4 linked regions of the Notamacropus eugenii genome follow. The protein of the gene in region 2 purifies or fractionates together with the protein of the main gene of each other region. This does not show direct contact. Links are inferred from orthologs where the notes say so. Each region holds a gene or a part of one and is shown on either strand. Other genes may lie near its edges. The genes, in order: NASP, HAT1, ASF1A and ASF1B.

Evidence for each region.
Region 1: the proteins of HAT1 (region 2) and NASP purify together in Homo sapiens (affinity purification with mass spectrometry; 3 studies listed by BioGRID and IntAct, with this or other methods). This does not show direct contact. The link is inferred for Notamacropus eugenii from reciprocal best matches to the Homo sapiens genes HAT1 and NASP.
Region 3: the proteins of HAT1 (region 2) and ASF1A purify together in Homo sapiens (affinity purification with mass spectrometry; 4 studies listed by BioGRID and IntAct, counting the BioPlex papers as one, with this or other methods). This does not show direct contact. The link is inferred for Notamacropus eugenii from reciprocal best matches to the Homo sapiens genes HAT1 and ASF1A.
Region 4: the proteins of HAT1 (region 2) and ASF1B purify together in Homo sapiens (affinity purification with mass spectrometry; 6 studies listed by BioGRID and IntAct, counting the BioPlex papers as one, with this or other methods). This does not show direct contact. The link is inferred for Notamacropus eugenii from reciprocal best matches to the Homo sapiens genes HAT1 and ASF1B.

The regions. Positions count from the first base shown.
Region 1 is NC_092873.1:506,735,176-506,742,452, reverse strand, and holds the start of NASP (nuclear autoantigenic sperm protein), read right to left. Parts: upstream 3,045-7,277; 5' UTR 2,666-3,044; coding exon 2,619-2,665; intron 1-2,618. UniProt on the Homo sapiens protein: Component of the histone chaperone network. Binds and stabilizes histone H3-H4 not bound to chromatin to maintain a soluble reservoir and modulate degradation by chaperone-mediated autophagy.
Region 2 is NC_092876.1:233,636,062-233,643,966, forward strand, and holds the start of HAT1 (histone acetyltransferase type B catalytic subunit), read left to right. Parts: upstream 1-4,823; 5' UTR 4,824-5,058; coding exon 5,059-5,161; intron 5,162-5,548; exon of another isoform or gene 5,549-5,706; intron 5,707-7,905. UniProt on the Homo sapiens protein: Histone acetyltransferase that plays a role in different biological processes including cell cycle progression, glucose metabolism, histone production or DNA damage repair. Coordinates histone production and acetylation via H4 promoter binding.
Region 3 is NC_092873.1:200,818,745-200,826,495, forward strand, and holds the start of ASF1A (histone chaperone ASF1A), read left to right. Parts: upstream 1-4,713; 5' UTR 4,714-5,390; coding exon 5,391-5,499; intron 5,500-5,963; exon of another isoform or gene 5,964-6,565; coding exon of another isoform or gene 6,566-6,608; intron 6,609-7,751. UniProt on the Homo sapiens protein: Histone chaperone that facilitates histone deposition and histone exchange and removal during nucleosome assembly and disassembly.
Region 4 is NC_092875.1:76,827,757-76,834,770, reverse strand, and holds the start of ASF1B (histone chaperone ASF1B), read right to left. Parts: upstream 3,027-7,014; 5' UTR 3,016-3,026; coding exon 2,706-3,015; intron 1-2,705. UniProt on the Homo sapiens protein: Histone chaperone that facilitates histone deposition and histone exchange and removal during nucleosome assembly and disassembly. Cooperates with chromatin assembly factor 1 (CAF-1) to promote replication-dependent chromatin assembly.

The sequences.
Region 1 (7,277 bases), on a different chromosome or scaffold from region 2:
TTCCTTAGTATATTCTCCAACTTATCAATGATATTAAATTGGTGTGCTCAGAACTGAACACGAGACTTCAGGTAAGGTTCACTAAGGATCTCTCTTCCAGAAAGATGCCCCTTCTAATACAGCTCCAGCTTCCATTCCAGTCTACTCATGCCTCCATATTTGTGCTCATTTGTCACTCCCAAGAATAAGGCTTTACATTCACTCCTAATGAAGATCATTTAATTAGATCAGCCCAATGCTCTCTCTAGCCTGTCAAGATCCTGTAGGAATCCTACACTCTGTCTTTTCTGTGTTAGCTCTCCTTCCCTGCTCTTGTATCACCTGCAAGTTTTCTGTGCCTACCAAGTTTGCCTTTATCCATGGAATTGATAAAAATGTTCAATAGCCCAGGACCCAAGTCACTGAACCAGTAACAACCACCTGAACCTGGGGTCCATTCACCCATCCCTCCACAGTTCTGCATCCAATGGATTAAATTATCACCCAATTCCCATCTCTCCAGGTCATCACCAGAACAGTCTAAGAAGACTTTATCAAAAAAAAAAAATTTCCTTCATCTATGAGTTTAGTAAGATTATTGAGAAAGGAAATGAAATCGGCCTGGCACAACGTGTGCTTGATGGAGACAGATGGGTGGCTTCTCTCAATGTTCACCAACCATCTTCTTTAGCGATATGTTCCAGACTTTCCACAGGAAGCCAGGCCAAATTCATGTGCCTGGAGTTCACCTGACTGCTCCCTTCACATCTGCCCTTCTCCAAGCTTGGATTACTTCCCCCATGTCCCACATAACTGATGGGGGCTCAGCAGTCCCATACATGCCAGAGATTTCAGGCCCGCCTCACACTGGGGGCTTGAATTTCCTCCATCTCAGTGAGGACTAAGGACTGACTGGCTATCAACATCCCTCAGTCATTTTTATTCCATCGTTTCCATTTTGTTTTTGCTGACACAAGACCTGAGCAGCTCAGTGGTTTCTCTTGTCACTCATCCCATCTCCCCCAAGCAAAGGTCCCTTTCCTGCTTTGAGCCTCCTCCTTCCAATATAACTAGAAAAGGCCTTTCTGCTCTTGGCTGCCTTGGCCGGTCTCAGTTCATTCTAAACTTTAGCATTCCTATTTTTAGAGTGCGGTGTACTCCATTCATTACTTGGCTTTGCTTCCCTGCTCTACCTTGCATCATGCTTCAGACAAGTCTCGTTTTCCCTTCTCATTGGAATAGATTCTCTCTATCCTGGAGGCTTTTATTCCTGAGCAGCTCCCATGGTTGGATCTCCTGCTCCAACATTTTGGCCCCAGCTTCCAGTTCCCTGTTAGTCAGATTCAGATCCAGAAAGTCATTTTTCCCTGTTGGTTCCTTCCTATCTGGAAGTTATTGGCTGCTCTACTTTGGGCAAGAGGCGGGCAGCCCCCCAGAAGGCCAGGCCGGGCGTCTGCTCCTTTCCCTCCTCCCTCTTTTGATGTACCGCTGCTTCTCACCTCCCACTACCAACATTTCCTCGCTGGCCTACATTCTGAGCAAGCCCCAACCTCCCCTCCCTCCCTATTTGGGGTGCAGGGCCCCTCGGTCTTCCACGCGGGCCGGCTGGGCCCCAGAGCAGAGCTCGGCTGGAGGCACTGACCGAACAAAAGGCCGGCCTGGCCCCCTCCCCCTCCTCCGTGGTCTCAGGTCCCGGGCCCCCCTCCCGCCCCAATCAGGGACTGCAGGCTTCTCAGGAGCCCCGCCCCCGCCCCCGGTCTGGGGGCTTCTGGGAGGAGAGGGAGGGGCCAGAGGAAGCACACACCTGGGGTGCGAGGGGAAGGCGAGGTCATAACCCTGCTCTCGCACGAGATCAGGCGGGGCCTTACAGACCCCGTGCCGGGGAGGGGTCGGCGGGGGGACAGTCGGGACCCCGAGGCGCGCGCAGCCTGGCCCGCAGGAGAAATGCGCTTCGGCAAAGCTCCCCCAGCGAACGGCCGGAGCGGCTCCCTCGGACGCCCAAGGACCCAGTCCCAGGGGGCAACCTGAACTACGAATAGGACTGCGAGTGCAAGGTCGCGGGCGCAGCTCCATCCGGGCCGGGTCCAGCACGTTTTTGGAAAAGGGAAACTGAGGCCCGAAACCCGGGCGCTGCGGCCCCATCTCCGCCCCCAATCGCGCACGCGCACAGCTCACTCCCCCCTCCGCCGCCACAGACAATGGGAGTTTTCCCGCTTTCCGGTAGCCCCGCCCCTTCGACGACACGCGCCTGCGCAGGCGCCCCAAGACGCCAGGAAACTCCGCCCCTTCGGTAGCACGCGCCCGCGCAGGCGCCGAGAGCCCCGCCCCCTCCGGAGCAGCCTCGCTCCTCGTGAGGGGAGCTTTCTTTTGGCGCCAAATCCCCAGGAGCGGAATGGCCACGGGACTGAGGGGATGCGCGTGCACGTGCACGTGCCCCGCACCCCCTCCCCTCACCGGCCTCCCCGGGACCCCGGCGGGTAAGATGGAGAAACCGCCGCGGCGCCGGCAAGATGGCGGGCGACCAAGAAAAAAAGCCGAGAGGGAAAAGGAGGGGAGGGAAGGCCGCCTCCACCCTCCACCCTGGTCCCTGGCTCGGATCCGCGCAGACCCCGCCCCGCTCCTGCCCCTGGCCCACTCACTTGTCGGCTGGGGCGAGCTCGGCGATCGCGGCGGGCTCGGTGGCCATGGTCTTTCAGAGGCGGGCGGGCGCAGAGGACAGAGACGGGGAGGGGAGGAAAAGAGGGAAGGGGAGACAAGGGCCGGGCGTTCCGCAGCTCCCGAAGCAGAAAATGGCAGATTGGAGAGCCCGCGTCGCTCGAGCCGCTTTATATAGCGCGGCCCTGGGCCCCGCCCACTCACTTCCGTTCCGCGTTTAAAGGGCCAGCACAGGTGCAGCCCTCCCCGGGTCCCTCCCCTCCACTATCCCGCTCTCTGTGGACTCGGAACGCCCTGGAGAAACCGGAGGTTCCGCTGGTAAGAGGCGAAAGATCTACCTCTGCTTGCGGGCTCGCAGCCCAGGAGAGAATACATTTCCCTGGAAAGATGCCGTAGTGACCCAGGACTCCAACTCCCAGCAGGCTGCGCGCCCCCGGGGGGGGGGGACTCCGGAAGTAGGGACCGCGAGGCTTGCTGGAAGTTGAAGTCTGCTCTGCAGCCCCAGACGCGCCGTTTGGCTACCAGGTCGGGGTGAGGAGGTTCCAAGGCCTGAGCCGCCTCCTGCTCTCGCTTCCTCCCCTCCTCCGACACTCTCGTTCCTGGTAGAGGTGTCGACTCCGACCTGAGGATCTGTGACGGAGCTGCAGGAAAAGGAGGGGGAGGAGGAGCAGAGTGGCTCCAGCCTCAGCAACGGGTGACGTCAAAGGACGCCTTTTGTTTATTGGCCGAGACTGCTCCCGCGGCTCTTCATTCAAAGCGTCGCCCGCACCCTGGCGACCTAGCGCCGAGGCCTCCTCCTCACGTGGGCCTACTTGGGTGCCGCCCCAAGCCGAGGCCTCAGCCAATCGTCGCGCGCTTCGCTGAAACTCTCCAGTCCCTTTAACTCCCTGCTCCTCCTTCCCGCTTCATTCATTCTCTTCTCCACTCTTCTGCTCCTTGCGGGTCGCCCGGGGCCGGACGCTAGGGGAGGGCGTGGAGCTCGGGCTCCCGGGGCCGGACGCTAGGGGAGGGCGTGGAGCTCGGGCTCCCGGGCCCTGCCCTCGGCTTCCCCTCCGCCAGCATGGGCGCTGCTGCGGAAAGTGCCCCGAGCTGGGGCGGCTCGAGGCGAGATGGTGGCGTTCGTTCACGGGGGCCCCCCAAGCCCCCGTGACCCGCGCCCCCGCACTGCCCCCACACCTTGGAGCCGCCGGGATCATCATCTCTTAGCCCCGAGTCCCCCAGCCCGCCTCTCCCTTACTACGTGCTGAGGGTCGGGGTCCTGACCCTGGAGCCGCCCAGCTCCGCTGCCTCGTCCTCCTGCGTCCTTTTCCCCTCTCCGGTCCTCAGCCCTGGATCCCCCCACCCTCCTGGCCATCCGATCCCTGGAGGGAGTTAGCACCCCACTCCGAGGCCCCAGCAGCACCCCTCCTGTCCTCTCTGCCGTGCCTTCCTTGGAAAAGTAGGGCTCGGTCGAGATCTGAGCTCCGCCGCCCCCTCCCCTTCTTTCTCTCTCTCCGTCCTCAGCCTCTGCCCTGCCCACCCCCGACCCACTCGGCCAGCGCTCCCTGCTACTGGGGAGGATGGGCAGGGGGGAAGAGGTAAAGGACTCCTCCTCCCTGGAGCGCTCCGCTCCGGGGGGAGGCCGAACCCGGGAGGGTCCGGGTGGCCCCTGGGCGGGGAGGGGAGATCGTGGTCCCCGAGCAGAGCCGCCAGGGCAGCCCCACTCCTGCGGCGGAAAGCCGGGCACCTCCCGAGGACGAGCTGCGGTTTGGCGGCCTGGGACGCGGAGCGGGCCCGCCGCTTTCTTTTCTCTTATCTTGTCTTGGCTTTCCTTCTCGTGCTTCTCCACTTCGCTGTAACCCTTCTGTGCCGCGGGACTAACGTGAAGGTGCGCCTGGCGGGAGTGCGTGTGTGGAGCCCGGTCAGGCGGCGTGCCTTCTTGGGGACGAGAACGTGAATGGTGGAAACCAAATAAACAGAACGGGCTCCCAGCGTCGAGAGACTTTTGGTCAGCCTGCTGGGGCAGAAGAGGGAATGCAGCGAGACCCGAGAGGGGACAGGCTACGTTAGCTGCTGCAGAGTCCGAAGGGGAGGGTCCCCAAACTTTTTGGATCACCCGATCCCATCCCTAAAAGATGTTTGGGTGTACTGGAGTGTGGAGGAAAGCATTGGAAAGGAGAGTGATAAAAAGAAGAGTTGGAGAAGGGATGAGCAGCTTGGCACAGCGGGCACAAGTAAGACTGCCCATGGGCATCCTTTGAAAACGAGAACGAACCCTTTACACGCTGTGTCCCCCGCCCCCCATCCTCGCCCCCCTGCTGAGCTGTCTGCCTTCGTTAGAAAGGAGCTTCCTTGAGTCCGGTGTCTGCTCTGGCACGTTCAGCACTTGGCACAAGGTCTGTCCGTTGTAAACCCTTAACAAATAAAGCTGAGGCCAACATAGATGTTTAAAGGGTGAAAGATGAAGTAATGCTTTCTGTGCTAACGACACCAAAAAGTCTTCAATCCTGAGTCTCTGGCCAATAATGATGATCGTTATTCGTTTTCGTTTTTGTGGCAATTAGGGGTGAAGTGACTCGCCCAGGGTCACACATCTAGTAAATGCCCGAGGTCATACTGAATTCAGGTCTTCGCTAGGCACTGGCTGCCCCAATATAACTGAATACACCTTTTTTTTTTTTTATTTTGGCTAAATTGATACACTAATCCAGTGATTCAAAATTCAGTACAAGTGGATACTTGGTCTTAGTAGCTGGAAAAGTGCCTTGGCTGGTTCCTATTGAAGCCTTGCTTAATCACAAGATTCATTTTCCTTTTTTTTTTTTTTTTATTTTTTAACATTTTCATTTAAAAGTTTGTGTTCCAAATTCTATGCTCGAAGTGGGCTTTTCTTTTTTTAAAAATCAATATTAATGTCTTTTGGATTTTTTTTCACCACAGTTTTTGCTAGTATCCCTCCTCCTCTGACTCTGTCTCCCAGAGAGCCATCCCTTATAACAAATAGTATTTTTTTCTTTTTTTAATATATTCATTTTATTTATTTTTAATGTTCTATAATTACTACCATAAAACTTAGATTTTTTTTCCCCCTACCTACCCCCCCCACAACTCCCCCTGCCTCTGCAAGACGACATACAATTCTATATAGGATCTACACATACATTCCTATTGAATACATTTTCACTATAGTCATGTTGTGTAGAACTAAAATGAATGGGAGAAATCATATAACAAACCAAAACATAATACACACACACACACACACACACATCTGCTACATTCTGCGATTGAATTCCATAGTTCTTTCTCTGAATGTGGAAGGCATTTTGCCTTAGAAGACCATTGGGAATTTTTTTTTTTTAATGTCCTTGCATTACAATGAACTTCCAAGTCTACCAGAAAAAAAGTCTCAGACACTGTAGTCGTTGCTGTGCACAAAGTTCTCCTGGTTCTGCTCCTTTCACTCAGCATCAGGTCATATAAGTCCTTCCAGGCCTCTCTGAAGTCTTCTTGTTCATCATTTCTTATGGCACAATAGTACTCCATTACATTCATATACCATAATTTATTCAGCTATTCCCCAATGGATGGGCATCCCCTTGACTTCCAGTTCTTGGCCACCACAAAAAGGGCTGCTATAAATGTTTTTGTCCATGTGGGCCCTTCCCCATTTTTATGATCTCTTGGGGATACAGTCCCAGTAGCGATATTGCGGGGTCAAAGGGTGTGCACATTTTTGTAGCCCTTTGAGCATAGTTCCATACAAATAGTATTTTTTAATGACAGAAAAATAAAGAGGAAAAACTCAGCATAACCAATAAGTACATTCAAAAAATTATGAACATTTGTGCAGTGCACGTGAATACTTGTGGACTTCCCACCTCCACAAAGTGGTGTGTGTGTGCGTGTGTGTGTGTGCGTGTGTGTGTGTGCGTGTGTGTGTATGTGTGTGTGTGCGCGCTCCGTTTCTCTTTTCTCAACCCATTTCTTACAACAACAAAGATCCCATCACATTTATGAGCCATCCTTGTTTATCCATTCCCCCAACGCATAAGCATCTCTTCTTTCTGGGTCTTTGCAATCACAAAAAGTGCTGCTGTAAACAGTACAGAGAGGGCCTTTCTTCCTGTCAATGTCCTCTTTGGGGCAGAAACCCAGCAGAAATATGGGTACCGGAGGTACTTTTTTGCTTTTCAGTTAGAAGTTGCTTTTCAAAGTGGTTTTCATGATTCGCGGCTCCACCAGCAATGCACCTGTTTGCCTCTCTTCCCCCAACCCCTCCAGCATTGACTATTCCCTTCTTTGTCATTTTGGCCAGTTAGCCAGGTACAAGATGAAACCCCAGGGTTGTTTTGATCTGCATTCCTCCTGTTTGTAGTGGTTTGGAGCATTCTTCCATGTGGCTGTGAATACTTGGCAATTGTCCTTATGTCCTCTGACCTCTCATCCATTGGAGAATCGTTATTAATCTTATTTGTGTTTATTCATTCTTTATACATCTCGTTCTTTCACAACATGACTAATGTGGAAGTATGTTTAATATGACTGTACGTGTATAACCTATATCAGATTGTTGCTCTCTTGGGGAATGAGGGAAGAGAACAAAATTTGGAACTCAGAATCTTGTAAAAGTGAATGTTGAAAACTATCTTTGCATGTAATTG
Region 2 (7,905 bases):
AACCCTAATTGCCTTATCCTGGGTCATCTCCAGTCATCCTGATGAATATCTGGTCACTGGATTCAAATGGCTCTGGAGAAGTGAGGCTGGTGACCTGCACAGCTCTCCCTCACTCAAAACAAAGTCAAGTGCAAGTCATGTCATCATTTCTCTGATGGCATGGTCTTTTTCAGGAACAATGGACAAAACACACACCATCAACAACCTGTTTCCTGTTAGATTAGATGAATGAAAAAAAAGATAAAACTCTTACTATGAGCAAAGCAGGGTGCTAAAGCTGAGGCTTTAAATAGAAAAGTAGGTCTCTGCTCTTAAGGAATTCATATTCTAACAAAAGGGGAAAAAAATACCTAAGAAGTTTCAGCTGTAAATTAGATGGAAAGGCCTAGTGGTCTTTAGTGCGCAGCAAAAAAGCAGATAGTAATGCATTTATCTTTGGTGTCATTGCCATCAAAATACATCCACTGATCCATTTGATGGTGCTGAGGACTTTGGCAAGAACTTTGTTCTCATATTCTTCAAAAGCTGTGAGTGACAAAGAGGTGAAGAACAAGCTTAAGACACCTAGTGTTGGTGGTATCAGGGATGGGGATCATTTCCCTAGATTGTTGAGGGACTCCAGAGGCAAGAAAGACTGTGGTCTGGGTGGCCTTTGCTATTCCCAAGACTCTTGGGCCTATCTGCCTAGGTGGCGCTTACTATGAATGGTAGCTCGAATGACAGCAGGAATTTCAGTTTTGTAGTGATGCTCAGTGCTCTCTAAATAAAAGTTTCTGACTAAGTTTTCTTTTTTTCAGGACACTATTCAGGAAGCACTCAACAGAATTTCTATTTGTTACAATGAAAATCATAAGTAATTGATAGAGAAATGCCATTTAAGACAATGAGAAAATATCAAATACTTGGGTATTAACTTATAATGTCATTTTTACAGAAATTGAGGAAGAATCAATTAATTAGAGTCAAAGTATATGGCTAGTCTGAGCTAATACAGTAATGATGACATTACTCAACTTTAATATAGGCTTAATATAATATTAATTAAAAACCCAAGGAATAGCTGATAGAAAAATGCAAATTAAGATAATTAATATGGAACAGAAGGTCAAGAATTTCAAAGGAAAGTATGGAGGGGGAAAACTGGAAAGAGGGACTTCTATTACCAGATCTCAAATTATACCTAAAGGAATAATTACCAGAACTATCAACAAAATAGATTTGCTAACCAGGAACTAGTTCCAAATGCATTCAAACGACTAGATTAGTGTTTGGTAAATCCATGACAAAATAAAGGAGTAAGAATGAATTATTTAACAAAAACTGTTGGTAAAAATTAGATAGCAGAATAGTTTTTTAAAATAAGCTTAGGATCCACAATTGGCCATATGCCACAATAAATTCCAAATGGGTCAATTTGTCTAAATATTTTTTTAATTGAAGATAATGGAATGCAATCAATTGAAACTGTAAATAGACAATTCTTAAGCTATTCAAGTAGAAGTAATCCCAGGAAACAAAAATAGATGGTGTTCATATACTAAGTCTGGTACAGCAAAAAAAAAAAAAAAAGTAATGCATTTAAAATAAAATTTAATTTTTAGAATGAAAAAAAAAAACAGATTTGGGATGAAAGACTATTTTCAACAAACATTTCTGACCAAAGTCTGACCTCCCAAATCAACAAGGAATTGGCCCAAATTTATGAGATCCATTCTCCAATAGATAAAATGCCCCCCAAAATGTAAAGAGGCAGTTCTTAAAACAAGAAATACAAATTCCATTTGAAACTATAACATCTACTGAAACACTATTATAAACATATAGTTTATTGCTTTAACTTTCATAATGTACTTTGCACTTTTGCTCTTAACAGTTTTACTATTAATTAGCCTTGTGAGGAAAGAAATTCTTTTATCTTCAGAGTATACTATGTACCTAACACCTATATGGCAATTTTGTAAAGGCTACTGCCGGTGATGTTTTTTGTTTGACCCTGTAAGAAGAAACCGTGCTAGGTAGATACTGTTGTTTTTAATTCAGTGAATAAATGTGTTACATGACATTAGAGGCAACATGTCAGAAACACACTGGACCTATATGCAGAAAATATGAGTTTGAGTCACAGTTCTACCACTTTTTTAGGTAAATAACTCTAAGTCTCAATTTCCTTACTGGAAAAATCAAGTCAACATATAATTTTTGAGTACCTACTATTTGCAAAGCATTGTGAAAGTTGCTGAAGGGGTAAAGATAAAACTGAAAGTCCCAGTCCTCAAAGAGCTTGCATTCTACTATTCTATTCTATTAATATACACAATTAATACAAGGAAGCTTGAGGAGGGAGAAACCACCAACAATGGGAAACTTGAAGAAGACTTCACAGAGTAAGTAGCACTGGAACTGAGCTATGAAGAAAAATGGAGTCTGAGAAGCAGTGATGGAGAATTCATTCCAGGAATGGGGTAAGGCTTGTGCAAATACATTAAAGCATAAAATGGAAAGCTGAAATCAAGGAACAGCTAGCAGTTCTGTTTCTTAGGATTTTAAAGCAAATGAAGGAGAACAATGAGAAATATAACTGGAGAGGTAGGTTGACACCAGATTGGAGACCTTTAAGAACCAGTCTAAGGAGTCTGTATTTATTCTAAAGAATATGGGTAACACCGAAAGCTACTACTAAGCAGGGCAGCAACATGATGGGGTTGATGTATACTAGTTATCTACATTGCAGGTTTTTATAAAGAAACTGCCTTCAAAAACATATAAATGATGGTAGCTGCTACTACCAGTATTTACTATTTCTTCCCTAAAACCCTAACTTCACAGTTCTGGTCATCTTTTTAAAGATTTAGTGCAATGAAAACACTAATTCTTCTTAATGATTTCTTATATATAAACCTCAAAACTGGTGACAGTTGTGCTTTTACCAAAATTAAAATGTTGATATGTCTTTTGGAGCTTTGCCACTTGCAAAGAATTTAAAATTTTTTTATAGGGGGTCAACATTTTGCTTATATAATAATGATAACATCCTTGTCTTTTTGACTCACAATGGCCTATATGGGGCAGCTAGGTGGTGCAGTGGATAGAGCACCAGTGCAGGGGTCAGGAGGACCTGAGTTCAAATCTCACCTTAGACACTTGACACTCACTAGCTGTGTGACCTTGGGCAAGTCACTTAACCTCAACTGCCTCAACCTGGGTCATCTCCAGTCAACCTGATGAATATCTGGTCACTGGATTCAGATGGCTCTGGAGAAGTGAGGCTGGTGACCTGCACAGCCCTCCCTCACTGAAAACAAAGTCAAGTGCAAGTCATGTCATTATTTCTCTGATGGCATGGTCTTCTTGGGCAACACAGGACGAACACACACAATTCCCTATGTATAAAATCTAGATTACAAAACTATAACACAGAGCTAGAAGGGACCTGAGAGGTCAAATTTCTCATTTTATAGTTGAAGAAACCAAAGCTTAAAGAGATTAATTTACAAAAGGTCATTCAGCAAGTTGCAGGGCTGGTCTTGGAATCTAGGTCCTCGGATAAAAACTCCAGGGCTCTTTGCATTATAAGAGATGCTATTCAGGAAATGTAAACTCAGAAAAAGAGATGGGCTGATCCTGTAGAATAAGCAAGGGATTACAGATCGACAGTTTAAGTGCTGTACTAGTAGTCCTTTTAATGTAAGTAAAAATACCTGAATACCTGTTGTCAACATTTTGTGTGTGTGTGTGTGTGTGTGTGTGTGTGTGTGTGTGTGTGTGTGTGTCTCTTGGCAGTCTGGTGAAGCCTATGATCATCTTCTCAGGATAATGTTTCTAAATACATAAAATAAAACTCATATGATTACAAAGTAAGTCGATTGTACTGAAATACAGTTATCAAAACCTAGTTGTTGGTTTTTTAATCACACACCCGAGGTTAAGAACCTTTGACTTAGAGGAGGCCTTCCCAGCACATTGGGTAGATTCTCGGTGGAGGATCTGTGGAAGAATATAAATGAGAGTCAGACAGGATGATGGGGTTTGCAGTAGATTGTGATCAGTTTTTTATTCAATGATACCTCCACGGAAGTATATGATTTCAAGGGCAAAAGAGGATCCTCAATAACCTTGCTCTGATTCTAGCTTTGGTCTCATAGCTTTAGTCATGGCTACAGAATTCTTATGAAGCTCAAAAGTGGGGGGGGAAGTAGTTAAAGAAACTTTCCTCTCCTGATACCCCCAAGTCTCGGTCCTTAAAGCCATCTGCGGTTTCGTGCATGACTGACACATACCAATAGTTGAGAAAAGTCGTTCCTTCGTAAACAACGTTCAGGGCTCTTAAAGGAGCGTCATTCTTCAGGAGAGTAAATTACCTACAACTATGAAATATTAGGAAGCCCAAGGCCCCAGATCTGCCAGGGTCTTACCTCTTTTGTCGTACAAGCCTTTCGGAACCGCACAACACATTGTTGTGCCTGTCACATCGTAAGCACTTCATAGTGCTCGCTGCTTAGATAACTACTCCAGAAATCATCGCTTCAATGCACTGTTTCCTATTGATCCCACAGTGAATTTATGGAGAAAAAAATCCATATAACTTACAGGTACCGGTTCACTTACGGGCTTGTTTACCGTTTGCTGTAAGAGTTCCCCCCTCCCCCTCAAAAGCATGTCAGCTTTGAGCCTTACAGGGGACAGTTTAAAGAAGAGACAGAGTAAACTTCTACGATTTTGCGGTGGCCCACTTTAAAGAGAGAAAGGGGACGAGAGCATTAATACCAGGTTTTCAGAACGGACGCCAGAGGCCGAAAGTAAGCCCTCCCGAGGGGGGCGGGGTTATTCAAATGAGCCCTTCACAAACTCCTCAAGAGCAGCGACTATTCTTAGCACTCGTCAGGGGCTGGGGATCCTTGACCTCCGGCTTCGCCTCGCTAGAGGACAAGCGGGTCAGCCCTCTTGGTTGCTAAGCAACAGCGGGCTGTCTGCCGCTCGGTTCCCCCGCGCTTCCGCCCCAGGAGTCCGCCGGCCGCGCGCTCTAAACGCTCGCTCTGCAGCCCGCCGGCCGTTCCGGGAATGGGCGGAAATACGTCACTGCGGTGCGCTCACTTCCGGGCAGGGAGCGCGCGGGTTGATTCGTTCTCCTCGGCCGCTTCAGCCTGCTGCACGGAAATGGCGGGTAAGTTCCCGGGAAAAGTTTGCCTAGAGGGAAAGGGGGCGGGGAGGCCCTGGGACGGGATGCTGAGGTGGCTGCGGCGGAGACCCCAGCCGGCCCGGGGTGGGAGGAAGAGGGGTGGTCACAGCGTCCTGTGCGCCCTGCCGTCGGAGGGCAAGCTCCGGACTCTAGCTCTCGCTCCCTTGCGCGTCTCTCCTTTTCGTCCTCCAGTCCCGGTCCAGACCTCGGCGCCATCGGGGCCGTTCGTGCCCGGGGCAGCCGGAGAGCGGAGGGCAAGGTTTTGGCCGGGAGGCTCCCTCCTCTGCCCGACCCCTTCGGCATTTTTGGCCCGGCGTTCGTCTTGCCCCTCCCCCTCCCCCTTCCTCGTCAGTTCGGTCGCGAGCGCCCCTCCTTCCGCCGGCTGACAGCGACACCTCCCAGGCCGAGGGCCCCGCCCAGCCTCTCTTCCCGCGGTTTTGGGACCGCCTGCCCCGCGCTGTCGGACCTGCTTGTCGTCACCTCTCACCTGGAGGCCGCTTCAGTTTAGGGTCTCTCAGCCCCGTTTGCCTGTAGGTCGGGAAGCGGGATGTTGTGCACCTCCCAATCCCTGGACTTCCTTTTAGGGTACCAGTGCGGGGGAGGGGAAGCTCCCCCCAAGTATATTATGTTGTATTGACCCTGCTTTGCCTTCTCCAGCCTCCACACTTGATGATAGTCTGCCTCGATTTGGCTTTATCTCTGTGGTGGACGTTTTCAAACCGTTATAACAAGTGTAGGTACCGGCCTCCCGTGTAGAATAAAAGTGCCTCGTGGGCTGAAACTTCTTTCGGAAACATTAACGTTGCATTAATGTCTGCCTTTACCTGCCTCCCATAAGAAAATTCTTAATGCCTAGTTGATGTTTTAAAGTTTTATGAAACACTAGACCCCTAAGTTCATTTTTTAATCATACTAATTTCTTTTAAAAATTACTGGGTTTTTTTTTTTTTTTACTGTAGTTTGAGATATAGTATTCCTGGGTCTCCTTCCTTACTATTTCTTATTATTTCCCATGAGATTCTTGATGTATTGTTCCTCCATATGAATTTGTTATTTTGTATACTTCCATATAGTAATCATTTGGTACAACTTTAAATAAGCAAATTAGGCAGCTAGGTGGGGCAGTGGATAGAGCACCAGTGCAGGAGTCAGGAGGACCTGAGTTCAAATCTCACCTCAGACACTTGACACTCACTAGCTGTGTGACCTTGGGCAAGTCACTTAACCCCAACTGCCTCATCCTGGATCGTCTCCAGTCATCCTGATGAATATCTGGTCACTGAGTTCAGATGGTTCTGGAGGAGAAGTGAGGCTGGTGACCTGCACAGCTCTCCCTCACTCAAAACAAAGTCAAGTGCAAGTCCTGTCATTATTTCTCTGATGGCATGGTCTTCTTCACAAAGAAGGATGAACACACACAAAGAAGAAAATTAAGTTAGATGATATTATATTTATTAGCTCATTCTGATAACAAGCTGTTAATATACTTCCAGTTATTTAGGTCTGTTTTGATTTGTGTATCTTGGTAGATAAATTCCTAGATAGTTTATGCTTTCTGTAGTAATTTTGAATGCCATTTCTTTTTTCAATCTCTTCTTTCTGGGTGTTGATAATATATATAGATTCTGATTGTTTATGCAGACTTATTTTATATGCTGGAAATTTGCTGACGTTATTGTTTTGGTAATTTTTATTGACTTTTAAAATCTTAATTTATGTATTTTTAATTTTCAGCATTCCCTTCCATAAGTTTTAAATTTTCTACCCTCCCTCCCCAAGATGGCCTGCAATCCGATATAGGCTCTACATATACATTCCTATTAAACATATTTTTGTGACATATAGTCATGTTGTATAGAAGAATTATAACGAATGGGAGAAACCATGAGAAAGAAAATTCAAAACAAAACAAAAAAAATTAGTCTGCTTTGCTCTACATTCAGACTCCATAGTTTTTTCTCTGGATATGGATGGCGTTTTCCATCATGAGTCCTTTGGAATTGTTTTAGGTCCTTGCATTGCTGAGAAGGGCTAAGTTTATCAAAATCAATCACCACACACTGTGTCTGTTACTGTGTATAATGTTCTGGTTCTGCTCACTTCACTCAGCATCAGTTCATATAAGTCTCTCCAGGTTTTTCTGAAGTTCACCTGTTCAGCATTTCTTATAGTACAATAGTATTCCATTACAATCATATACCACAACTTGCTCAGCCATTCCCCAATTGATGGGCATCCCCTCAGTTTCTAGTTCCTGGCCACCACAAAGAGAGCTGCTGTAAATATTTTTGTGCATGTGGATCTATTCCTCATTTTTATGGTCTCTTTGGGATACAGCCCTAGAAGTGGTATCAAACAAAAGGTATGTACATTTTTATGGCCCTTTGGGCAGAGTTCCAAATTGCTCTCCAGAATGGTTTTATCAGCTCACAGCTCCACCAACAATGAATTAGTGTTCCAATTGCCCACATCTTCTCCAACACTTACCATTTTCACTTTTTTGTCATGTTAGCCAATCTGATAGGTGTGATGTGGTATCTCAGAGTTGTTTTGATTTGCCTCTCTCTAATCTGATTTAGAGCATTTTTTTATTATAACTATAGATAGCTTTAATTTCTTCTTCTGAAAACTGCCTGTTCATATGCTTTGACCATTTATCAGTTGGGGAGTGATTTGGATTGTTGTAAATCTGCCTCAGTTTTCTATTTTAGAAATGACACCTTTATCAG
Region 3 (7,751 bases), on a different chromosome or scaffold from region 2:
CTCAATATATTCCATTTCCCAACTCTATCCCTTTGCGCAAGCTGGTGTCCCATGTCTGGAATGCATGTCCTCTTCACCCTCACCTTTTAGAATCCCTAGCTGGTTTCCTTCAAAGCTCAACTCATCTGGCAACCTCTTGTGGGTAGGACTTCATGATTTTCATAATTGCCTGTATTCTCTCCTTTCTCAAAATATATCTATTTATGTTTATATGTTGTATTTCCCTAGAACATAAAATCCTCTACGGCTAGAACTGTTTTTTGTTTTATCTTTGAATGCTCAGTACCTAAGCCAAGTGCCTTGGACAGAGTAAGCGCTGCATAAAAGGTTGTTGAATTAGACTGGATTAAAGCCTAATTGTTCTGAAAAAATGGTGCTATGATGAAAAAAAAAACAGGTTATGTACTTGCCCTAGGTCTTAAAAGAACCCTCCCAAGAGACTGAGGGGTAGGAGGCAGATCCTGTCTCACATGAGCAATTGCTAGATTGAGGTTATTCAATAAATACAATCTTTTCCCACATGTGGTGAGTGTATCTGTTGTGGTTAATTGAGTCTTTGATGGGAAATACACAAAGAGCTATTACGTTTGCTTACCAATCTGAAATATCATCAAGCTAGCCTCCATCCATCGTATTAATTCATTCTTCTCCTCAGTCCTCCACTTTCTTCCCTCCCAAAAATATCCATAGATTTATTCTAACAAGTCTCACAAGTATTGTTAGCTTTTAGGTAAGTAGCAAAACTTACCAAACACCACCAAGAAATAAAAGTGCTTACAAATCCTTTGTTGTTCTGAAGAAAGAAATTTTAAAATGTTGTGGCTCCCCTAAGGGTTAAAGGAGTTGTTTTTTTGGTCATTCCTTCATTTAGTAAAGGTTTCCTGAGAATCAATGCACAAAGTATTGGGCTAACTTATAAGAGATCACTTAGAGTCAACACAGAATAGGACAAGATCCCTTTCCAAAATGGACCTTCTAGTATAATGGGATAGATAATACACTTACAGAAATAACCTTCTTTTTGACCCTTTGTTTATTGAATTTTGAATGGGGAGGGGGATGGTCTTGGTTAAGAATTCAAGAAAAGCAGGTCTCTGAAATCCTCAGCCCATAACAATTAGGGCAACTAGGTGATGAAAGGGATAGATGGCAGGGCCTAGAGTCAGGAAGACCAGAGTTCAAATATGGCCTCGGATACTTACCGTCTGTGTGACCTTGGGCAAGTCACTTAGTGTGCCTCAGTTTATTAGAAAAGGAAATGGCAAACCACTCCAACATCTTTGCCAAGAAAACCCCAAATGGGGTCATGGAAGAGTGGGACATGACTGAAAATGACTCAACAACAAATGATAATTAAGAAAGAAAATAGAAAATCTGGGCCAGTAAGGAGCTGGTATTATAGAAAGATGCCAGCTCACTATGATAATCAGTGTGATCTTCAAGAAACACAGGAAATGTGCTATCCTGACACATCAGCTGAGAAGTAATGAAGGGAATGGGTTGAACTAAAGTTGAGCTATTCTGACATTACTCAAAGGGAGCCAATTTCCCCCACTCTCCACCCTACATAAGCATCATAATGGAGTTTTATGACTTAATGAGACTTCTTAAGAAGGCTGAGACTTTCCCATCAAGTTGGCTTTAAGACAAGGCTCTTTTCCAAGGTAAGATTACAAAATTCATTGAGTTGGATTTCACTCTATTTTTACCTAGTTCATAATTTTATACTTATAAAACAACAGGGAGGAAGCATAGTACCAGAGGAAACACTGGCTTTAGAAAAGGATGAACTGGATTTGAATTTAAGCTCTGTGGGACAAATCATTTAAACTCTCTGGGTCTCGGTTTCCTCTTGTGAAAAAGAAGGGATGTATGTATTGATAATGCATTTCTGCTTATTGTTAATGTAATTTTGCTTCTTAATGGGACGATCTTTCCCATCCATTAAGCCTGAGTCACATGAGTCTAAGTCATATGGAACAGGAAGGGTAGAACAATAAGAGGTGGAGCTAGAGAAAAGGTGAGAGGAAGTTAATCAGAGAGCAATCAGAGCTGGGAAAGGCTGCAACTAGTCGGAGTGGGAGAGCTCGTTTGTGATTTGTTTAAGAGACCTGGTTTGTGGGAAGTCTAAGGAGGGAAGGCTTAAGGATGGTAGTGCCCCCTGCATTGTTAGTGTGTATAGATTTCTTGGTTACTGTGATGGATTTGGCTTTCTGGTGCTGGGGATTTGGATTTTTGGTGTCTGAATAAATGTTTTGGTTCTGTCTTCCATGTGGAGAGTCTGTTGTATTTCGAGATTCAGAATTGCGCTAGCATATTCAGGCTGCCATAGGCGCTGTGAATATCACATTGGCGCTACAAGAGATTGGTCTAGAATCAAGATTCATAGATTAGGGATTCTTCAGTATGAGTGTGGTGGACCTTCCATTGGCAGTTTGGTAAAGACTATGGGGCCCTTCTCTGAATAATATTCTCAAATACTTGAAGGAAATGTTAAATTTTCAGTAAAAATTAAAGTGTAATTTTTTTTTGTCAAGTTCCCCTAACTGTAATTTCTATCCAAAGGGGACCAAGTACCCCAGATTTGATCCTATACTCTAAATGATGTCTAAGGTCTCTTCCAGTTCTAAGAACATGATCCTATGACATAGAATTTCCCTTACAATCACTATAACATTTTAGAAATTTTATTTACCATTAATAAGACATTTACAGTAAGAAAAAAAATCATTTGCAAAGTGACATTTTACATATATATTCAGGGTATCTTTCTGCACAGAGGGCAGCTTCTACATTTATCACAGTTTTCTTATGTCAGCTTGTCAACAAAAAGGAGGACTATTATTCATATGAGTCTATCATCAAAACATATAGTACCATTTGCAGTTTGGTTTCATTATTCTGACCCATATGCTGTATGTAATAACACCAGGAGGAAACCATTTTGGCTAATTTTTATATGTGGCAGTTAAATTCTTTTGTGACACACTCTCCACTAAGCACCAAATGGAACATAACCTACCTTACTTTCTAGGCTGTGAGAACCAAGATATGGATGAAGGAAGGGATCCCTACTTCAAAAGCCAGATCTTTGGAATTAAAAAATCTTGCAAAGATCATCACAATTCTTTGTGGGTATGAAGAATAATATCTATTTAAATTCAAAGACATGCATTTTTGCAAAGAAACTGCCAGAGGGTTTTGGAGCTAGAATGGGTCTTATGGAAGATCTAGTTTATTACTTTGGAAGACTGTGTGTGAAATGTGAATTTGGAGACAAAGGGGCCAAGTTTGAATCTTGATTTTTTTTTTTACTTACTACCTGTGACCAATGTGACGATGGGCAAGTCTCAATATTTCTGGAATCATTAATTTCCTTATCTTTAAAATGATGCAGTTATACAAGATGGCTTCTAAGGTCTATACTTTTAATGGGCTAATTTCTTGGAGAATAGAGAATAAATCTATGATTTCCTTGATATAAGGAATTCTTACATGGAGGAACTTCTAGGTTGGTACCTTCTCTGCAATTTCTTGTCTTCCAGAGTTGCCTAGCAGAAGGAGAGGTTAAGTATCCAGCGTCCCCCTTACCAGTATGTCAGCATGAGGACTAGAACCCAGGGGGTTATAACTCTAAACCCAGGATACTTTCCACCAAGCATCCAGTAGGATATGTATGAGATTATTTTACTTTAAATTGAACTAGGGCTGGGTAGTTCTTATCATGAATATTTTAAAACAATAGGTGCTTTGTGAATGGAATAAATGAACACTAATTTTCACATTAGTTTTGCCATATCAATAACGGCTAATAAGTTAAAAATGCTAAAATCTCACAAAACATATGATGATTATATTATAATTATATTATAATATTATATATTAAGATTAAAAAGCCCATTTGAGCAACAAAGGGCTACAAATGAAATCAACATTTTCACTCATTGGACTGGCTTTGGCCATGCACTGGCTCTTTTAACTGCTTCTGAGGGTTAAAAATATGTCTAAAAGTACTAACAGTTTGCATCCCAGATTTTGAATTACATCTACTGGCTGAAAATGCTTGTCTTTTTTGCTTTTCTCATCTCTCCAATTTTCCTCCTTTCCCCCTTCTAATTTTCATCCCCCCCCAACAAAACATTGAGATGAATCTCATTCCATCTCTAACTTTCCATTTAGAAAATGCTTTCTAGAACTGGAAAGACTTGGAGGGGATTCTCAACTTGGGGGGGCTGTGAATTTGGATTACATTTTTTTTTTGATATTTCAAAATATTTGGATTCCTTTGTCATGTTACATATCTTATTTTAGGCATTTACAACAAGATTCTGCAAAGGAGGCTTTGCATAGGCTTTGCCAGGCTGTCAGTGAAATGAGAAAAGGTTAGGCACTCCTGGATGGGAGGCCCCCTGAGACTGGAGAGGATGGTAGTTCTGCAGAGCTGCGAGCCTCAGGACTTTAAGTCAGGAAGGTGTCTTGTTTGCTAAGACGTCATGCACACTCACAAGGCACTTCCCCCACGCGTGTGGATATTCCCCTAGTGTATCTGGGCACACTGCTCTGCTGCCCTGGACAGAGCCCTTCCATCTCAGAGGAGAACGCCGGCCTTCTCTGCTCTCCTCCCCCTTCCCCTTCCCTCCTCCCCCTTCTCTTCTCCCCCTCCCCCTCCCCCTCCCCCTCCCCCTCCCTCCTCCCCTTCCCTCTCTCTTCTCTCCTCCCTCCCCCTCCCCCTCCCCGCTCCGGCCGAGTCCCCTCCCCTCCCCGATCCCGGCTGACTACTGGCCGACACGCCCTACGTGCGAGGAGCGTGGAAACAATCCCGGGGGCGGGGCTTCCCGGCCCTCCGCGGCGCTCTCCGCCTCTGGGCCGCCAGCCCGCTCGGCTCTGCCCCGCTCGGCTCCGGAGGAGCCCTCCCCGGCCTTCCTCCCCGGCTGCCGCCCGGCTCACTTTGTTCTCCGCCTTTGTCCTCGGCTGCGCCAGCAGGTGGAGCAGCCGCGAAGCCTCCGGAGCCCGTTCGGGGGAAGGGAGCCCATCTTGCTCTCCCGGAGCAGGAGCTGGAGGAGGAGGAGGGTCAGAGCTCAGCGTGCAGCCAATCGGGGCCCACGCTGCTAGTTCGCCGAGCAGAATGGGCTGTAGTTGAGGGAAATAGCAAAGCTGCAAAAACACTGTGGAGTTGTTTCCCGGTGTAAATACAAAAAGAAGAAGAAGGGGACGCGACGACGAGGAGGGAAAGCCGACCAAAAGTTTCCCAAGTCGCCGCCGCCCGCCGTTGGCCCGGGGCCGGTGCTGGAGCGGGGGCTGCGCCCAGCCAGAACACGTTGGACTCGGCGGCGCTGCAAGAACACCCCCTTCCTATTGTTTGTGCGGGGTTCCTCTGCCTCTCTCAAAATATGGCAAAGGTTCAGGTGAACAATGTGGTGGTGCTGGACAACCCTTCTCCGTTCTACAACCCTTTTCAGTTCGAGATCACGTTTGAGTGCATAGAGGATCTGTCGGAAGGTGAGTAGCGCGGGTCCCGCCAGGGGGGCTCCGGCCCGGGGCGCTTCTCCGCGAAAACTTTCCCCAGGCCTGGCGGTTCTTTTCTTCTCTCCCTCCGCTCCTTCCCAGCCTTAGCCTCCGCCGCATCTCAGGGATGGAGGAGAGGAAGGAGGAGCAGCAGGAGGATGGGCTGCTGCAGACCTGCGGCTTCCGAGGGGCCGGCGGGGCTTCGGCCGGGGCGCGCGGCGGCCGCTGCCCCTGTCCCTGCCCCTGCCGCTGCCGGAGGGAAACTTGGAGCGGGTGCGTTTCGCTACTGTGCCCTTCGCCCCGGCGGGGAGACCGAGGGGGAGCGCGGGGAAGCCGCCCGGGTTCCCACCGCTGCCTTTTCGCGAAGCCGGGCTGAAGTTGCAAGTAACTTGTTTGAGTGGTGGTAGCCATGTTGTCAGCTTTGTCTGGGTGTGGGAGAAGGGTTAACGGGAGGAGAGGAGCCCCGCGGCCCCCCGCGAGCCTCCGCGCCCCTCGGCTGCTCCCACGCGGGGAGCTGGCTCGGCCGAGCCTCCAGCGGAGACACCCGTGAAGGAGAGGGGGCAAGACCCCCCTGTCTGCACGGCCTGGGACCGGGGGGAGCGGTGGAGAGGAGGCTTTTTAAAAAAAGAGCTGAGCCTGGTGTGTGCGCGTGTCTGCTCGCCGGAGAGTTCGAAAACGGAGCCATCTTTTACCCCCGGAGCCCCGGCGTCCCCCGGGCACCTGCCCACCTCCCGACTCCCACTGGCCAAGGCCAGCACTCGCTTCAAAGTTGCACTACTTCATTCCGGGGGCCCTGGCTCCTCCTAGCCTAAGCAGAGCGGCAGGAAAAGCCGGGGCAAGCCTTGTGCCTTCCTCTCCGGCTTCCTGAGTCGAGTGGGAGGCGGGCACAGGCTCGGGCATCCACACGCTCCCTCCCTCGGAGCTCTTGCCCCTGCCCACCCCGGCGGAGGGCAGGGTGCCAGGCAGCCTTCCCCGGGGACTCTGACAGCCGCACAGAATTCGAGAGGCTCTGGAGGGAATCACCTCCACGCAGGATGGCCAGGACAAGAGGGACTCCGGGATGCTCGAGGAGAGCTCTCTGCCAACGTCCGAGCGCCATCAAGGCTAGTTAACTGTTAGCACTAATAACTCTGGGAGTAATCATTTTACAAAACTCTTAAAATGACTTTAGGAGCAAACGTTTTCCTGGAGGTTTCAGCACGCTCCAGAGTTAGGTGGAGCGCCCTGGCAGGACTCGCCGCGTGGGCTGTGCAGACCGGGGGAGAGCGCCGGAGCTCTCCCGGCCACCTTGGGGTGCTGACCCCATCGGCAAACGCGAAGCGAACACTGCCCTTCCGCAGACTCGTAGTGAGAGGACAAGGGGGTAAGGGAAGACACGTTTGGAGTGCAGGCTTGAAGTAGGACCATAGGATTCAGAGGCCTAAGGGAGCCCTAGGAGGAATCATTTAGGCCAGCGCCCCCCCCCTTACAGATCAGGAAACTCAGCCCAGGGAGGTTAAGTGACTTGTTGTAGTGAGCATTTATTTTAGGGGCTTAAAGTATTTTATTTTTGAAAGAGGAAAATTTCATTATATTTATTTTCATCTGTATGGTATGCAGAATATATACCATTTCAGATAGCATCAAATTTACCTTATGGGTCTTTTAAAAAATGTTCTCGAATTTTTTTGTAATTTTTAATTTCCAAAATGTGAAAATACTATTTCAGATTTGTTACTGATGTACTACATTGTAGGTGCTAAATTTTAATTGAGAATTATTTTGAATTTCTCATGTGGACACATCAAAGTAAACTTCATAAAGTATCTTTTCTCTTGATTATTAACTAACATTTCCTGATGTTCTCAAACTAGTTGTTAATCTTTGTGTACAGCTCTTTGAACTTGATGGATCAAGAAATGGGCCAGGTTTTAAAAGTTAACCATTAAAATAAAGCTAAATAATAGCAAAACACAGGATTGCTTTTCCGTTTTCTCATTATTCAAAAGTACCTTGTTCATTTTGGACAGCTGTAGCCTCTTAGCCACCATCAGCATGAAGTATAAAGCAAATGAACAGGTTAAAAAGGGGGGTGCAGGGAGGAATTGTCAGGAATAAGTGTTACTTATTAGTTCAGTATGAGTTCCTACGTCATAAACATATTTTTGGTGGTGCCTCCTACTTTAGGTCTCAACTTATAAGGATTATAGGAGCTCAGGACATGAATGAAGAGCCTCTCTAGGTCCATGGTCTTGGAAAGCACTGTA
Region 4 (7,014 bases), on a different chromosome or scaffold from region 2:
TACATTCAAGAGAAATGAGCCATAACTGTTCAATAGGTCAGTTATCTCCTGTGAATGACAGTGCCAACCAAAGCAAGTATCTTGAGTTCCAAGTATACTCAGGGCAAAGTTATAGCAATGCAGAAGGATTTGGCAACTAACCTGAAAATGTTTTAGACATCTTAAAATCACAACCCTAAGCTCAAGATGCCTGGGAAAATTTTCAGGCGCCATGATTCCACAGAATGTGATTACTTTGGGACAAGATACTTGGTACAGTACCCTTTTAAGGAAGGAGTTCTGATCTTAGGTAAATGCATCCTGGATAATTTCTTGCTAAGGTTTTCCTATAACACCAGGTTCCTCATTTCTACAGCAACTATGTGCTTTTCTACCTTTTCAATTTAACTGGAGTCTAGAGCAGAGGTTCTTAATTTTTTGTGTCATGGACACCTCAGAATAATGTTTGAAAATACATAAAATGCTTAGTATTATAAAGGAAACTGGCTTTATTGAAATAGTCATCAAAATTAAAAACAAAAACCCAAGTTCATGGACCTGTGTCTTGAGGTAGCCGTCTCAGTTTATGAACTGAGTTACATCCAGTTTAAAAAAAAAAACCACAAAACAGCGCTAAACTTTAGGAGTATCTGAGTATAGTAGATCTATTTCTAAACACCTGGGTTCCACAACTTGTGGCCTATAATTTTTGTATTTTCAGGAGAATCCTGGACCAAAGGATAAAGTAAACTGCTCGATTTCTAAAATGAGCTGTTTTAGTTGTTTTTAGTTGCTTTATGGAATGTTGACAGGATTAAGTGAGAGGTGAAAAATGGTTTGTGTCAGGGAAAAAGAGGATCAGTTAACAGTTTGTTATATGGCTTCTTAGGTCTTAAAACTGGCAAGCTGTGATTTCTTAAGCCCTTTAAGCAATAGTATGCCCTCTCTCTAGTCTCTAGAATTTTGTGCAAAAGGTAGCAAAAAAGTGTAATTCAACAGGAAAATGCAAATTTCCCAGGTAATCAAATCACTAACAGATTCAGTTATGGAATTATCAAGTTCTAGTTCTCAACCTAAAAAAATCAGGCTTCCTAAACCATAAATTTTATGCCATACTTTTAAAAGAGAAGAATGGTAATAGTGTTCCAACTTCAGGAATATGACAAGAATGAAGAACACTTAGTCAGCAGCTGGGAGATCCAAATTCTAGTAATTACTATTCCACCTCACCATATGACTTTAAGCAAATTAACTAAGAATTTAGTCTCTTCAAACTGTAAACTATAAACATAATAAAGGCTAAGGCCTATATGAATAGTGTGTGGCCCTTGAAGTAAGTTAATCCAAGTGGCAAAGATGCTCTTATTAGTGGCTAAACCCCCTGGATTTTAAATTCTGTCTTTCTATATTCTGCCTTATTAAATTCTGCTATCCCCACAGGCAAAGGGATAGTCTAGTAAGAGTAAAATGGAAGTTAAGAGTATTTGAGTCTATTCCTAATTCACAGAGATTCACTGAGTAACCCTGACCATTTTGTTAGTACAATATGTAGAACACCTTTTCTCAAAGGAGAGAACCTTACTTTTTCTGTCTCAGCCTTCTCATCTGGAAAATGAAAATGGTGTTGGCTTTAATATTCTTCAGTTAAATGAGACCATCTTTAAAAGTACTTTCATGAGGGGGATGCAAAATTACAACCTACCAAGTACTTATTTTAAATGATACCTATCTTCCCAAAACCATATAGCCCCCTCTCCTAAAAGCACATTTTTGGAGATATATAACATTCTTTGCAAACTTCTAAAGCACCATATAAATGAAATGTTTAAATATTATTGCTACTCTCAAATAACAGACTCTCAACTCATGGAACTTTCTACTACTTTAGTAGCAGAGCAGTAGAAATGGCCTTTTAGGAACAAGCCAGGTAACAGCTAGCCCCTGGATACAGGGCAGGGGTCCACACTAATTCAGGCAGTTCTAGAAAAGTGTAGGGTAGGAAAGATTAAAGAATTGTCCAAGCACTGGGGCATTTAGGAACCACTTTCTAGCAAGAAAGATCAGGCGTAGTTGGGGGTAGACTGGAGACGTCATCCAGGAAGAAGCCATCTCGGATTTCATTAAAACCCTTCTTCTAATAGGTGGAAAAGGGCCACAGAAATGAATGAGGGAAGAGTAACAGGGATAACCTCCCGGAGGCTGGAAGCAGTACCAGGCAGAAGAGTGGATATCCAGGCTTACTTGAGAGCGCTGCTGACACAAAATCCTTTGCAGTAATATTAAGTCCAGAACCTCAGAGATGGACGGGGCCTCAGTGGCCCCGAGCGCTCGCTTCTCTATGGCTCATTTTAAAGCTTCCAAGGAGCCTGGTGGGCGCTATCATCATCTCAAAAGCACAGAGGAGAAATCGCAGGCTCCGAGGGTTAAAATGCCATGCCTAGGGTAACACAAACATTGAACTAAGCGCCGACCACCCAGGCCGGGGAGCGGGGAGGCAAATATCCAAGAGAGACAGGCCCCTTGCCCTCAGCGCGTTTATATTCTACTAGACCAAGAACAGAACACTTTATTAAGGTGCAGGCGGATACCAGAGGGAAGCTTTAGCATCCCACCGGGGCGGGGCGGGAGCCCGATTCGTGGGAGTCAGCATAAAGGAGTCCCCTCCGTCAGGAACGCGCGGGGGGAGACTGGGAGATCCCGAGGGGAAGGGGAGGGCCGGGGCTCACCGTCGGCCAAGGCCTCGCTGCACTCGAAGCTGATCTCGAACTGGAAGGGGCTGTGGAAAGGGCTCGGGTTCTCCAGCACCGACACGTTCAGAACCGAAACTTTGGCCATGGCCTCGCGGGGGCAGGAACGAAGCACACCCTCCAAGCAGCAGCCGCCGCCGCCGCCGCCGCCGCCGCCGCCGCCGCCGCCGCCGCCGCCGCCGCCGCCGCCGCCGCCGCCGCCGCCGCCGCCGCCGCCGCCGCCGCCGCCGCCTCCGCTCTCCCTCTCGCGTCCCCTCCGCGCGGTTTCCACACCAGAATGAGGCGGCATTCCCCGCCCCTCCCCCACTTCACCCGCCCCGCGCCCCCTTCAAATAGCCGGACCCGCCCCCCGGCCAATCCGCTCCAACGCTTTCCTCAGCGCGAGCTTCTAGGGGCCAATACGCAGTCGCCCGTCGAAGTGCGTTCAGCTTCTTCCCAGCCAATCGGCTGCCCTCCCTCGCCGGCACGCGCGCGCCCGATTCTGCGCGGATAGACGGGTGTGTGTGGCGGGAGGTGTGTGGGGGGTGTTAAGGCGCTCATCATCCCTCTTTTGGCGCCCCAGCGTGACTGCTCTCTCTTCTTGATGCCAGCCAATCCCCGGCGCCTCCGCCTCAGCAGTGGACTCGTTGTGGCAGAGCGCAGAGTGAGCGCGGGGATCCCTGGGACCAATTGGCGTTGAGGGGACGGCCTTCGGGACGCGCGCTCGTCCCCGCCTCTTTTTTCCTTCCGTTTGCGCTCCTTTTCCCTTCGGTGTACGGAGGGGGCGGGGGAGAGGAAGCAGAGCCGCTAACTGCCGAATGGGGGCGCGAGGCGCTAGCGGAACACTACGGGTTCCCGTAGTGATTGACAGAGGGGGGAGGAGAAAGAAGAGTTGTGCCCAAAGGGGATTGGTCAAGCCGGTCTTGAGGGGGCGGGAGCAGGCGGAAGGTGAACCCGTAGTGTGCTGAAGCGGCGGTTACACTCAAGCACCGTCTTCGGTCGCGCCTGACGTTCTCCGCCCCTTGTGAGCGTCGTGGGCGGTTGGGCGGAGAGGCGGATAAGCCCAGCCTTCTGCCCGGGGAGCCTCCGGGGCCTGCAGCCGGTAGTCGTGTTCGCTCTACCTCCGGCTCACTCCGTGCCGCAGCCGGGGTCGGCCCGCGGAAACGTCCGATAGCCGCCGTGTCTGGAGCCGCTGAGACCTCAGAGATGGTTTAGTCCCACCCCTTGTGTTTACAGCCGAGGCCCAAGGTCACACGGACTGTTCTGGACGGAGGCTGGATCCCAGCCCAGGCCCATCGCGTCACGCAGGAAGCAAGTGCAGTAGCGGCAGTTGGAGCCCAGGCAGTGACCGCAGAGCTCCTTTCACCGAGTTCTACCAGCATTTCGAATTTTAGGCCTGTTTAACTTACGCAAAGGATGCCTTGTAGGTATCTGCCTCCACCGGTCCAGAACTTCTCTTGTAACTTTCCCTTGGAATCACACGTGGGAGTCTTCAACGAGTCGGTCTGTCTTCCCTTCCATGGTCAGTCAGCTGTCAACTCTCCAGATCCGGCCAAATCTCCATTCTGGCATCTGCCTCCCATCAGTCTCCTTCACAAAGGCCACTTCCCTAGTAGAGAAGCTCATTACCTCTGGCCTGGACTCCTGCTGTAGCTTCCTCATTGGTCTCCCAGTCACGAGTCTCTTCCCCTCTCCAGTCATCTACCACACAGATTCAAATGTGATTTTTCTCCCCTCAATATGACCTTACATAGGTTCCCCCCAAACTTGGAGTGCTTTCGTCCCTCACTTCCATCTTTTATGTCCCTTCCTTTAAGGCTTAACTCCTGTGTCATCTCCTGGAAGAGGCCAATCTTTATGTGTGCCCCTCTCCATCCCCCACTTTGCTAATCCTTTCCCTCCATTAGTGTATGTTTTGTATTTATTCGTGTATGAGTTGTCTCTCCCCAAAAGATTGAAAACTCTTTGAAAGCAGTGAATCTTTGTTTCCTTAAAGTCAACTAATATTTAAGCCCCTGCTATGTGCCAGATACCTCGGTAAGCTCCACAGTCACTCTGCTGAGAGCCCCTGGCAGAATCCCCAGCTCATAGTAGGCTAAGGATACTGACATTTAGTGCCTAGAGCTCAGAACCTAGCACAGTGTCTGACACATAGTAGGCGCTTAGCAGATACTTGTTGAATGGATGGAATGGTATAGACTGAGTCAGTAAGAATTCAGTTCTAATCCTGTCTCTGACATAGGTTGTGAGACAGTGGGCATATCATTTAACATCTTAGACCCTCACTTTCCTCATCTGTAATATGCAGTAATAGTACTTAGCTCACTTCTTCACAGGACAGTTGTGCCTTGTGTACATTGTGTGTTTGTCCTTCATTCTCAAAGAGGACCATGACATCAAGATGATGACATGACTTGCAGTTGACTTTGATTTGAGTGAGGGAGGGCTGTGCAAGGTCATCAGCCTCACTTTCTTCTCCAGAGCCATCTGACTCCAGTGGCCTGATATTCATCAGGATGACTGGAGATGGCTCAGGATGCAATGGGAGACCCTGGTCATAATTGATGCTTAATAAATTATTGCATGAAGGAATGTCTCAAGTGATAATGTGTGTAAAGTACTCTTCTGACTTTAAAGCACCATACAGATCTTGGCTAACATGACCTAAAGTATGAAAGGTACCTGAAATTGAAGATGAAAATTTGAAGATGAAAAATATTTGAAGTACTTTAAATATTGAAGTACATATAAGTACTGTACTGGGATACCAAGTTTAAAAATACCAGTCTCTATCCACATCCAGAGAACAATGGAATCAGAATGCAGATTGAAGCATACTAGTGTCTCTCTCCTTTTGTTTTTTCTTTCTCCTGGTTTTTCCCTTTGGTTCTAATTCTTCTTTACACTCTGACCAATGTGGAAATATATTTAATATGATTGTACATGTATACCTTATATCAGATTGCAGGTTATCTTGGGGAGGAGGGTGAGGGGGAGAAAATTTAGAACTCAAAATCTTATAAAAGTGAATGTTGAAAACTAAAAGTAAATTTAAAAAAATATATATTTAAAAATATTGGTCTCTGCCTTCAAAGAACTTAGGTCTACTTGGAAGTGAGGATAGGGTAGACTAGAAAGCGTAATGCAAAGTAGAATGTAATGGGGCAAAGGAAGGTTCAAAGTACTCTAGGAATATTTGAAAGGAAGGAGATACTCAATTGGAAAGATCTGATGTTCCAACCTCCTCATTTGAATATTGGGGGCCTGAGAGAGGAAATATAAGTGGTAGAATTGGGACAATAATTGCTTACAATTTTAAAGAAATTTAAACTTTATAAATCATTAAACTTTATAATTACACAACTATTTGTCTACTGCAAATTTATGTTCTACAACCTCAACTGGGCCCTCACTGCTGCTAGGCAATCTTTCTATACCTCCCTTATCAAGTCTTTATCCTACTCCACAGTTTCTCTTCCAAAGCTCCCTCCTCAAACATTCCATGGCTCCTCCTTCCCCACCCCTCTCAGTTGAGATCCTTGCCTCATATTTTACAGAAAAAAATTAAGACCATTTTCCCTAAGTTCCTTCTCCCTTTTTCCTCACCTCCCATCATTCAGATAGTTCTGCCACTATCTCCTTCACCTGTCAGATCCTAAGGGGATCCGACTCCTTACCAAGGCCAGCCCCTCTGCCTGAACAGGTGATACTATTCCATCCCCCACCTCTGTGAGTGGTCCCCACTCACTCATCTTTTTTTTAATTAGAAAATTTTATATTGCACAATCTATTTCCATAGTACTCATATTATTTTTTAAAGCAAGAAAAATAAAAGAGAATATTCATTAGTTCTCTTTCTGGAGGTGGATAGTATTTTTTAATCTTGAATCCTTTAGAATTATCTTAGATCATTGTATTGATCAGAGTAGCCAAGTCTTTCACAGTTATAACTTTGTTACTGTGCACAATGATTTCCTTGTTCTTCTCACTTCCCTTTACATCATATTTTTTCTGAAACCACCCCCTTTCATTATTTCCTAAAGCACAATAGTATTCCATCACAATCTTATATTACTTGTTCAGCTGTACCCCAATTGATAGGCATCCCAATTTCCAGTTCTTTGCCACCACAAAAAGCTGCTTTATTTTTGTACGCATAGGTCCTTTTCCTTTTCCTTTGATCTCTTTGGGATACAGACCTAGTATTGTTATTTCTGTGTCAAAGGGTTTGCACTATTTTATAGCCCTTTGGGTCTAATTCTCCAGAATGCTTGGACCAGTTCAATACTCCACCAACAGTTCATTAGTG